Linked DNA regions of Oryzias latipes. The main gene of each other region encodes a partner of the protein of the gene in region 2 in a complex. Links are inferred from orthologs where the notes say so. Each region holds a gene or a part of one and is shown on either strand. Other genes may lie near its edges.

Region 1 (4,584 bases), on a different chromosome or scaffold from region 2:
ATCCTACAGTAGCTTTTAGGCTCTAATCAGACTTTACTTTTTGGAAACGCCAGAAAACTAAGTGAAGTGATACAGGATACAGAGCTAAATAAAAAATAAATAATTTTATTGACAATCATTTTTTTCAGCTTTTAAATTTTTAGTTTTTTTTAAACATTTTTTTTAATGTTTTTCCACACAAACTGTAAATGTCAGGATAGCAGTAAGTAATTTGTCTTTTATTTTTAATATCATGTGTTCCTGTGTAGATGGTCTCACTGAGTCCAGGTCTGCTGGAGGATTTTTTTATTTTGTAGGAAGGATTTATTTAGTTAAAAGGCTCACTTTATATATATATATATATATATATATATATATATATATTCCTTAAAATCTCACTCCAATCATCTTTTGATTTATTTTAAACACGTTCCTTATGGTCTTTTAATTACAGTGGTGCTGGGACTTGTGTGTTTTTCTAGGACATTGTTTCTGCAGAGCGGCAGCAGTTTATAAGAACTTCACCTCCTTTCCAAAAGCAATAACAGTCCTCAATTCCCAAATGCACAGATAAAATCCATATTCCTGTTTACTTCTCTGTCCACAGTGTCAAAACTCTTACCCCATTACCACCTCTTGCACTTTTGACATGTTTACACACAGTTTGCGTACGCAATTGTGCAGAATTATTTCAGCACTCTTCATTACAGTTTACAGTTTATATTGCACTCTTGTATATACTGTTTGTTTGTTTGATTTGATTGTATTACGATGTTTCTTATTATTTTCCCTTCGTGCTGTTCTTGCTCTGATGGCAATGCTAAAATCTCATTGTACTATGCACAATGACAATAAAGTCAATCTAAATCTAAATCTAATCTAAATCTTATTCAGGAGGGGGTGGGACCGTTGGCGCGGGCCAACCCCCTCCCCGTTGCTGAGAGCTCTCTTGGGTTTTTTCTGCTCCCAATTCACAACGATTTGAAGAAAAAAAACAATAACTCAGAAATACAATTTAATCTTTATTTTCTTCATGTGTGTCTCCAATCATCAGAAGAATGCCACAGAAACACCATCTGAGTGGGTTTTCATGGAGTTATCATTTTTCTGCAGGTGCAATTGTTTTGGTCTCACAAACATTTTCTGCTCAGCATTCCAACAAAACAAGGGATAGAAGTTATGAAAAAGATTTAAAGAGACTTATTAAAGTCGATGATTTATAAGTTTATTGTATTTATTTCCATATAAAATGAACCAATTCTGTGAAACACATTTAAATAGAACTGTTTCAGTTCGTACTTTTACCATAATTGGAATAAATCTGCTTAATATCCGTTGACAGAACCGTAACACGTGAACGTCACGATGACACGACCGCAACAATCGGCACCTCTCTCGCGCACGCGCACTCGGAAAAAGTGACACCGCTTGCTCAGTCATGCCCGAGCGATGACATCACTCGGCCGCGCGCGCGCCCGAGCAGACTGCGCCGTGATTGGACGGCGGCCCCGACCAACCGGCGGGCGCCGACATGGCGAGGGTTTAAAACGACCCAGAAAGATTCCCGCACTGTCCGTCGGAGAGGGTCAGCCGCGGGTCCGAGCGCATGAAGCAGTGACAGCCGGCGGTTTCCGCGGACTTCCGGTCAGGTTTCCCGCTTTTAGGGAGAGAGACACCCAGAAAGGGAAGCATGTCGACGCACTTCAGGAGCGGACCGGCCTTCGGACTCTCTGCCGAGGTCAAGAGTAAGGTGGGTGTGTGGCCTTTGATGATGGGAGAGAGGATTGTTCTCCTCAGGAGGGGGGTCCACCAGATGGGTGTCATCAGCTCCTAGGACAGGTGGGGGAAGTCTGCAAACTGTTGGGACTTTTTTTTGTTTGTTATTTTTTTATGAGGTTTATAGAAACCAAATCAATGTAGGACTCTGATCTAGTTTGGTTCAGCTCAGGCCATGCACTCCCCCCAGAAGGAGGGGTTGTTGGGGATTATGGTGAGGATGAAGGAGGTGGACGGAGGGCGCTGTTCTGATGATTCTGGGAACCAAAGGCCGATCCAGATCCATGGCACTGGTGTGTGTGTCTTCTGGTTCTGGTTGACAAAAATGGTCCGTTTCCAGCCCATCCATGACCTCCCCTCTGAACGGCTCCATCGCTCAGCAGCGCCTTCCTTTCACTCTGCTGTTCTCCAAGAATTCCACATTCCTTGCAGACAGCGGCCGCCTCACAGGACCCGGGATCGAACACGGACGAAGAACTGAAGCCGGGATGGTACGACCCAAAAGCAGAGAGCAGCGGCGCCAGCAGCAGCAGCAGCATCCTCTGATGGCCTTTTAAGGAGCGACCGGCCGGGAAATGAAACTGTGTCCCGACTCTAAACTGTTTACATCTGAAGCAGGACTGATAAAACGCAGGTGGACAGGGGAGAGATGGGGGGCCACGCCAACAGGGACCCGCCCCCTCCTTTCACCACGAGACCATATCTGGAGAAGAAAAAGAAGAGATGGAGCACAAAAATCCACAATAAAAGAAATAAAAATGACCCAGAAAAAAGATAAACGCAGCCTCAACAGGAGACAAACCAGCGTCCTGCTTGTGCCTGTCCCAAGCCCGGCAAATCTATAGAATAGTGTTGAGAAGAGAACTTCTGACACATCGAGTGGATCAAAGGAGAAGAGAAATATATGGAGAGATGATCTGCTATGATGATAGCTTGGTTTTCTGAGCATTCTAGGAGCTCACAGGGATTTAACCATAAAAATGTATTTATTAATCCATTTATTTTCATATTTTATTGATTCAAATCTTTAGGGGAGCTTTCTTAGTACGTTTCTGCTTTGGCTTTTGTCCAAAAAGAAATAAGCTACAGAAAGTTATGCAATTATGAAAACAACTTTTTTTTTTATATTACATTTTTTTTATACATTGCATTTTTTTACAGGTAAAGTATTAAAATAAACTTCTGTATACATTTTCTATTATTAAACAAGGAGTAGTTCCAGAAGCAGAGAATTTGTAGTTTTACTTTTTCAAACTGGTCTATGGTTCTGAAATGCATGTTTTTAATATAAAAATAGAAACGTAAATGTTTTTAATAGAGACCGGTTCATTGCTAACTCAGTGTTTTTATTTTCAGCAATATTTAACCTTTTTTTTCCCCTTTCCAGTCATTTTTAAACAGGTTTTCAGTATAGAATGTGTTTCTGTAATGATTAAAATCCCAAAAAATGCAGCCAAAAAAAACTCTCCTGAATCTAAATCCGGACCCGATCTGGGTCCTAGAACCAGAACCTGCTGCTCCTGCCGCTGTGATCCTGGAAAACCTCCACGGAGAGGAGAAAAGGAGGTGCAGAAACTTGGGGATCATGGGGAGAGGAGGACAGTGGAAAAGGGGAAGGAGGAATTTCTCGGAATGGCGTTTCTCCCAAGTTTGGTGTGATGGACTTGAAGCCGCGCTATCCCTGCTGCTTTCAAAGACTTGTTTGTGTTGGCTGCCGATCCCAGGCTTATCGGGAGAACATTCAAGAGAAGCGGGGAGAGACTGTGTGCGAGCATGAGGAGGCGGCGGTGGGAGGGATGGGGGGTGGGGGGGGTGGCCTTAAACCCCACGCCAGAATTCAACGTATTAGGGAAGCCGGTTTGTGCCCGTTAGTAAATGCATGGATGGAGGAGAGATGAGCATGCAGGAATGTCCACAGGCCTTTTTCTGATCTCTCTTCCTGTTCGCCTTTTTTATTCCAGTTTGGAATCCTTTAGCTACCCGTTTGTTATGAGCAGACGCCAAATAACTGAGGCCTAGAAATGGGAAGGGTAAAGGAAAAAAATATGTCTGCGTACATGATGGACAGATGGATGTAGGGCTGAACAATATGAGAAAAATCTAGCAATTTGCTGTATTAGTAGTCAATATTGCGATGATGATATAACTTGCGATAAATGAACAAACGGCAAAAAAAGCCTAGTTTACGTAGGGTTACATTGGTCAACATCGTGAAGGCGTCCATCCGCTTGGTCAAATGCATAAAGGGATTTATTTGATTCGTTAAATACTTCAAGCTGCCATAAGGTTGTTTTAGCTCATCAAAGGTAACCATTTATTGCAATTTTCACCGTCTTTTAACCATCGATAACGATAAATTTGCGATTTATTGTGCAGGCCTAGATGGATAGATGGATAGAATTTTGTAGTGTATAAGCTATTCAAGTTATACACTAACCAATCAAATGCTCCAATAAAAGTATGTAGAGCCTGCTGTCCCCCACGTCCAGCGTTCGAAACCTTTTGATTGAGAGATTTCGTGTAGTCCGCCTTTAAGTGGAAGGGGTGTGGACTTCCAACAAGGTCACTGCCGATTCACAAGAGTGGTTGCCATAGAGACAATGATTCAGCCTGGTTCAGAGCAATCAATGCTTACTGATGTCGTCTGGCTCCAACATGGCGGCGTCCGTATGGCCAAAAACTGGCAACTCAATTGACTTCATTTAGTTGGAGCAGGACGTAAGTTATTTTCTGTAGGTGACGTCATCTCAAGCTACGTTAACACCAGCCATATGGCGCTGAATACAAGCCGAAAAAGGGGTCTTGAATCCGCTTTTCACACTGGACTGT
Region 2 (4,820 bases):
GCAAGCCCAAGGTGCCAGCCATGTCTGGAGAAAGTTGTCCACTGAAGTGGGGTCAGATTCAGTGTGATCCCTTCCCATTAGAGTGGCACCAGGCGGCGGCCGGCTCGTCTTCTCAGATTACAGCCAAAAGAAGCAGCGGATTCTGTTTCTATTGATCCGCCTAGGAAACGGGCAGAGCTGCAAGGCAAGAGAGGTGAAATCTGAAGCACTGAGGAGCTTTGAAGGACAGTGGGCTGGATTTCTGAGGTATGTAGACCCTGGATGCACCTGCAGTATCCCCAAGCAAGCTTTACTGTATTTTCATCTGTTTATTTAATAGAAAAAAAAGCATTAATATCCATTTAGAGCACATGTGTCAAACTCAAGGCCCGCGGGCCAAATGTGGCCCACCATGTTATTTTATGTGGCCCGCGAGAGCGTAAAAGTTTTTTATTTCTTAAAATAAAAACTTAAAATTGGTGTGTATTTTTTCATATCTAGGGGGAATTGGATTTAAAATATTGGAATGGGCAACTATACATTAGGACATAAACACTGTCCATATAACCTAACCTGGCAGAATCAAATTTAAAAGGATTTATGCTAAAGTAACAAGCAAACATTTGTTTTCTATCTGTTATTGTCACTTTAAAAAGTTATAATAAAGAAATAAATGAGTTATTTAACATTAAGGAGAGTAGTTAGGTTTATTTTCATTACATCTGGCCCTTTGAGGAAAACCACTATGCTGATGTGGCCCTCAGTGAAAATGAGTTTAACACCCCTGATTTAGAAGATAAACACTGTTGCTTAATTATTAAATGAGTTACTTTACACACTTTTGCAGATATATGCGCCGATTTAACAAGTCTTCCTCATCTGTAACACAAAGCACGGTTTGAAATGTTTGAATATGAACCCTCAAATCTTACTGGGAAAGCAAATCCTAAAAAACACAACCTTTTCTGAAAACTCATTATTTCAGATGATCATTTTATTCTCGTCCTGTGGTTTCCTTAAATCCGCCACACGAGGGCAGCTGTGGTCTGTTAATGGACCATCTGCCTCCAATCCCAGCTGTTTGGGAGACAGTTCTTAGCATCCAGGTTTATCCAAGAAAAATCCCCACCACCCCCTCTCCTCCTGCCCACCAGCGGTACCCGATTGCTGCTGCAAGCAGCTCCCCAATTCCATCAGATCGTCCTCGTCTACATGAGTTCGGGCGCTGTGGGGTCAGATTCCCTGAGCTTCAGATGACTCACTGGGATCAAGTGGTCAGACACCAGCGGCGCGCAGAGCGCACACACAGCACCAGATTAGATGTGGAGTCATGAGCATCTTTGGCATTTTGATACGACTAAATCTGCTTGGTGGAACTATACCTTTGCTGTAATTACCACAAAAATGTGAATATTTGCCAAGCAAAGTTTAATCATCCTGATTAATTAAGCTTTCAATTATTTATATATTTTCCAAATATCTTTCACCTTTTAAAACAAGCAATCCAACCCAAAACAAACAGTGACTCATTTGTGCGCTGAGGTTCATTTCCCATCACCTTCAACTTCATTAAGGCTGCGCTCTCCTCTGCGCGCGCAGAGGCAGCCTTGGGGCGCGTCGCTGAGGTATGAGAGCCCATGTGGCTTCCTCACTGACTTCTTTCTCAATCATGTGAGACGAGCGCAGCTCTCTGTGGAGCGGCACACTGCATTGTGGCGCGGTTCCTGCAGGCGCCCTGCTCACCAAATCGCACTCGGGGAGGCGATCCCACGCTGTCACATAACTGCGCGCGCGAGGTGGAGAAAGAGAGAGAGAGAGAGAGAGAGAGGGATGAAGACGGGGACATTAAACTTTGCGTGATTGTGCCTGTGATGCTTTCACGTTCACCGTGGAAGTCCTCCGTTTCCCGTCGTTCGCTGTCAACACAGCAGCCGCGACCTCTCAGAACTGTTCATGCCGGAGAAAGTTTCCGCGCCACTCGGAAGAGGAGCGAGGGTGAAGAAGACTAGGCAGCAAAGCGCGCGCTAAACTTCTCGGAAACGTCGGCGCTAAAACATGGGCACTTTGCGCGACCTCCAGTACGCGCTCCAGGAGAAGATCGAGGAGCTGCGCCAGAGGGACGCGCTTATTGACGAGCTGGAGCTGGAGCTCGACCAGAAAGACGAACTTATCCAGAGGTTACAGAACGAACTGGACAAGTACCGATCTGTGATCAAACCGGCAACCCAACAGGTCCACAAGCAGAATGAGCTGCACGAGCAGCAGCGCACGAAGAGGCAGGCTATTTCTGCAGAACCCACTGCGTTCGACATCCAGGATCTTAGCCACGTCACCCTGCCTTTCTACCCCAAAAGCCCACAGTAGGTGTCCACCTTTCATTTGGTCAAGTATTCACATCCATTGTCGTGTTTGCGTTCGTCCTTCAACACCTGTGGGATTCTTGTGCGTTCGTGTTGCGCAGCAGGTACTTCACCTGTAGCGCAAGGAAGAGGCGCACGCGTGCACGCACACAGACGTGCGTCTACAGACTGAGAGGCAAGACTGGGAGGAAAAAGTGAAATCAAGCTTTCAAACCAATACATTAAGTAGTGAGTGTTATCAATACTGGCAGCAAGGCAAGCAAAGGCTAATTAACAGAAATCCCCCGCGACACCACGAGACAATTAAAAGTCTATTGAGGGACTACAGGGATAATTTTGGGTTTACATGAAGATTTGCCGCCTTTGAGCGTAAAATAAGTTTTACTTTCAGCAGCTGCTGGATTGTAGTTTATTCACAAGCTTCCATGGAAACAGACCACTCACTTTGATATCTGAACCTGAAGCAAAAGGCAAAAACACACAAAATAAGTTACTATGATTTTGGACATATAGATATTTCCAATCATAAAAACATTTCTAACTCATAATGAATTCTGCGTCACTTGAAGTTTGTTATTCAGCTGACAAATGCATTTAATCTGAAGACAGTCAGGTTCAAAACCCCAAAATATACTGTATGTCACAAACAACAAAATAATACTTTATTATTATAACTTTTTTCCAAATAACCTTGACGTCTCAGACTTCCTGTCAAAGCTGAGTGATCATCTCCTAATTCCCTTTTGCTCCAAGTGTTTTACATTTGTATTTTTTTTCAAAGCTCCAGCATGTGAGGGTTTGTGACTTTGGCTCTGCTGTCTGGGTCTTGTTTGATGTCAGTTGCGTTTGATTTGCTCGGCGGTCTCCTTTTTTTTGCTTCTGTCACACCTGTGTTCTGTTAGCAACCCCCCCAGCTGCTGCTGATTATTCTCCAGATTAGTCCATGCTTTCTGTTCCCCTGCCTGCTTATTTTTGTAACCGCATGTGTCATTTATGTCAAGGTAGTAGCTTTTAGCTTTAGTTCTTCAGGCTACTTCAGTAAATCAGTGAAGATTTGGCCAACTCACCCTCTGGATCTTACATTTCCAAGAAAAAAAACCAAACACAAATATCAAATGTGTTTCCTCCTTCAGAAATAGTGATGCATTCAAATTTTTTTTTGAAAAATGTACAAATACTTAGTTATAACCATGCTAATACCATTAATAGGACTATATTTCATACATTGCCTAAAAGCTAATTTAAGCATTAGACATGACAACTTTTTTGATTATCTCAGTCCCTGTATGGAGTAACATTTTGAGTCCTAATTACTCCTCTAATAGTCATAATTGTGATCCATTTATGCACTAAACAAATTACATCAGTGGTTTCTGTACCTTTAATAGTGTTTACGTTTTTTTTTCTTCTTATTTTCATTTGAGTGAAGTTGGGTTTTTTATTTTGTGTAAAGGATTTATTCAGATCCGAAAAATGTCTAAGAGAAAATAACTTTGCTTTACTGCTTAATTATGTCATTACCCTTGTGGATAAACAACCATCTTTAATACCTTTTTTATTATGTTCTGCATGTTGGAATGCAGCCATAAAGTCTGTTCCATTTCAACAAATAGTTTTTCTTTTTGCTTCCATACAGCGCCCTTAGAACGCTCTCTTTGTATCATCTCTCTTTGTTTTGTCTCATTTTTGTGAGCCTCTCCTGTTTTTCTGCCACCCCTCTCCTCTTTTTCCTCCTTAAAGTGCATATTTTCTCCTTTTAAGGAAGGCTGAACTTGCTCTGCCTAAACTTCAGTGGATGGAAGCAAATGTCTCATTCTCGTAAAGTAGGGGAAGGCAGATGTTTTTGTAAGGGTCTTGCTGGAGGAGCTTACTCAACCTTGGCAGCGATTGGAATTGAAAGGCTTCGAGCCTCCTGGGTGTAAATATAACAGAAATGGGGTCAATGAGGCACATTTCCAGAGCACTGGGGGTCAGCTTTGGTGGGGGCGGATTTTGAACTCGATTTTGTTTGGTTGATTCGACATGTTTTCTGCTGTGTAATGTGCACAAAAAGGTCTGTTGTGGAGCATCATCTTAAAAACTGTTGCTCCCCAAAAACCAAGACTCCTTTGTTAAAGTTTATTCCCACTAAGACGAATTGGATCTAATTATTTTCTTGTTGAATAAATGACATATTTGAAAATAGATGTATGAGAAAAATGTAAAGTTACACCTTCAAGTGCTAAATTAAAAAAATATATATTTTTATGCGCAGCAGCTTTAAATTGTATAAACCCCCAGAATAACTGGATGCTTGTTTCTGAACCTTTTCATCTCCAACATTTAATGGAAATGACGTGACTTGAATCTTGGATAGACAGAGACGCTCGTCCTGTCAATGCTAAAAACTGCACACTGTTCTGCTTATTTGATTTTACTGCTGCCGTGAAAGTAAAGTATGCAAAGCTGATGCTGCAGGTCACAGGACTACAAGCCTGTAAA

Evidence for each region. The genes of interacting proteins can lie anywhere in the genome.
Region 1: prkg1 (region 2) and cnn1 share a complex: the UniProt entries of both Homo sapiens proteins name them as parts of the cGMP kinase signaling complex. The link is inferred for Oryzias latipes from reciprocal best matches to the Homo sapiens genes PRKG1 and CNN1.

The regions. Positions count from the first base shown.
Region 1 is NC_019866.2:22,605,598-22,610,181, forward strand, and holds the start of cnn1 (calponin-1), read left to right. Parts: upstream 1-1,465; 5' UTR 1,466-1,669; coding exon 1,670-1,729; intron 1,730-4,584. UniProt on the Homo sapiens protein: Thin filament-associated protein that is implicated in the regulation and modulation of smooth muscle contraction. It is capable of binding to actin, calmodulin and tropomyosin. The interaction of calponin with actin inhibits the actomyosin Mg-ATPase activity.
Region 2 is NC_019873.2:20,154,833-20,159,652, forward strand, and holds the start of prkg1 (cGMP-dependent protein kinase 1), read left to right. Parts: upstream 1-1,488; 5' UTR 1,489-2,034; coding exon 2,035-2,339; intron 2,340-4,820. UniProt on the Homo sapiens protein: Serine/threonine protein kinase that acts as a key mediator of the nitric oxide (NO)/cGMP signaling pathway. GMP binding activates PRKG1, which phosphorylates serines and threonines on many cellular proteins.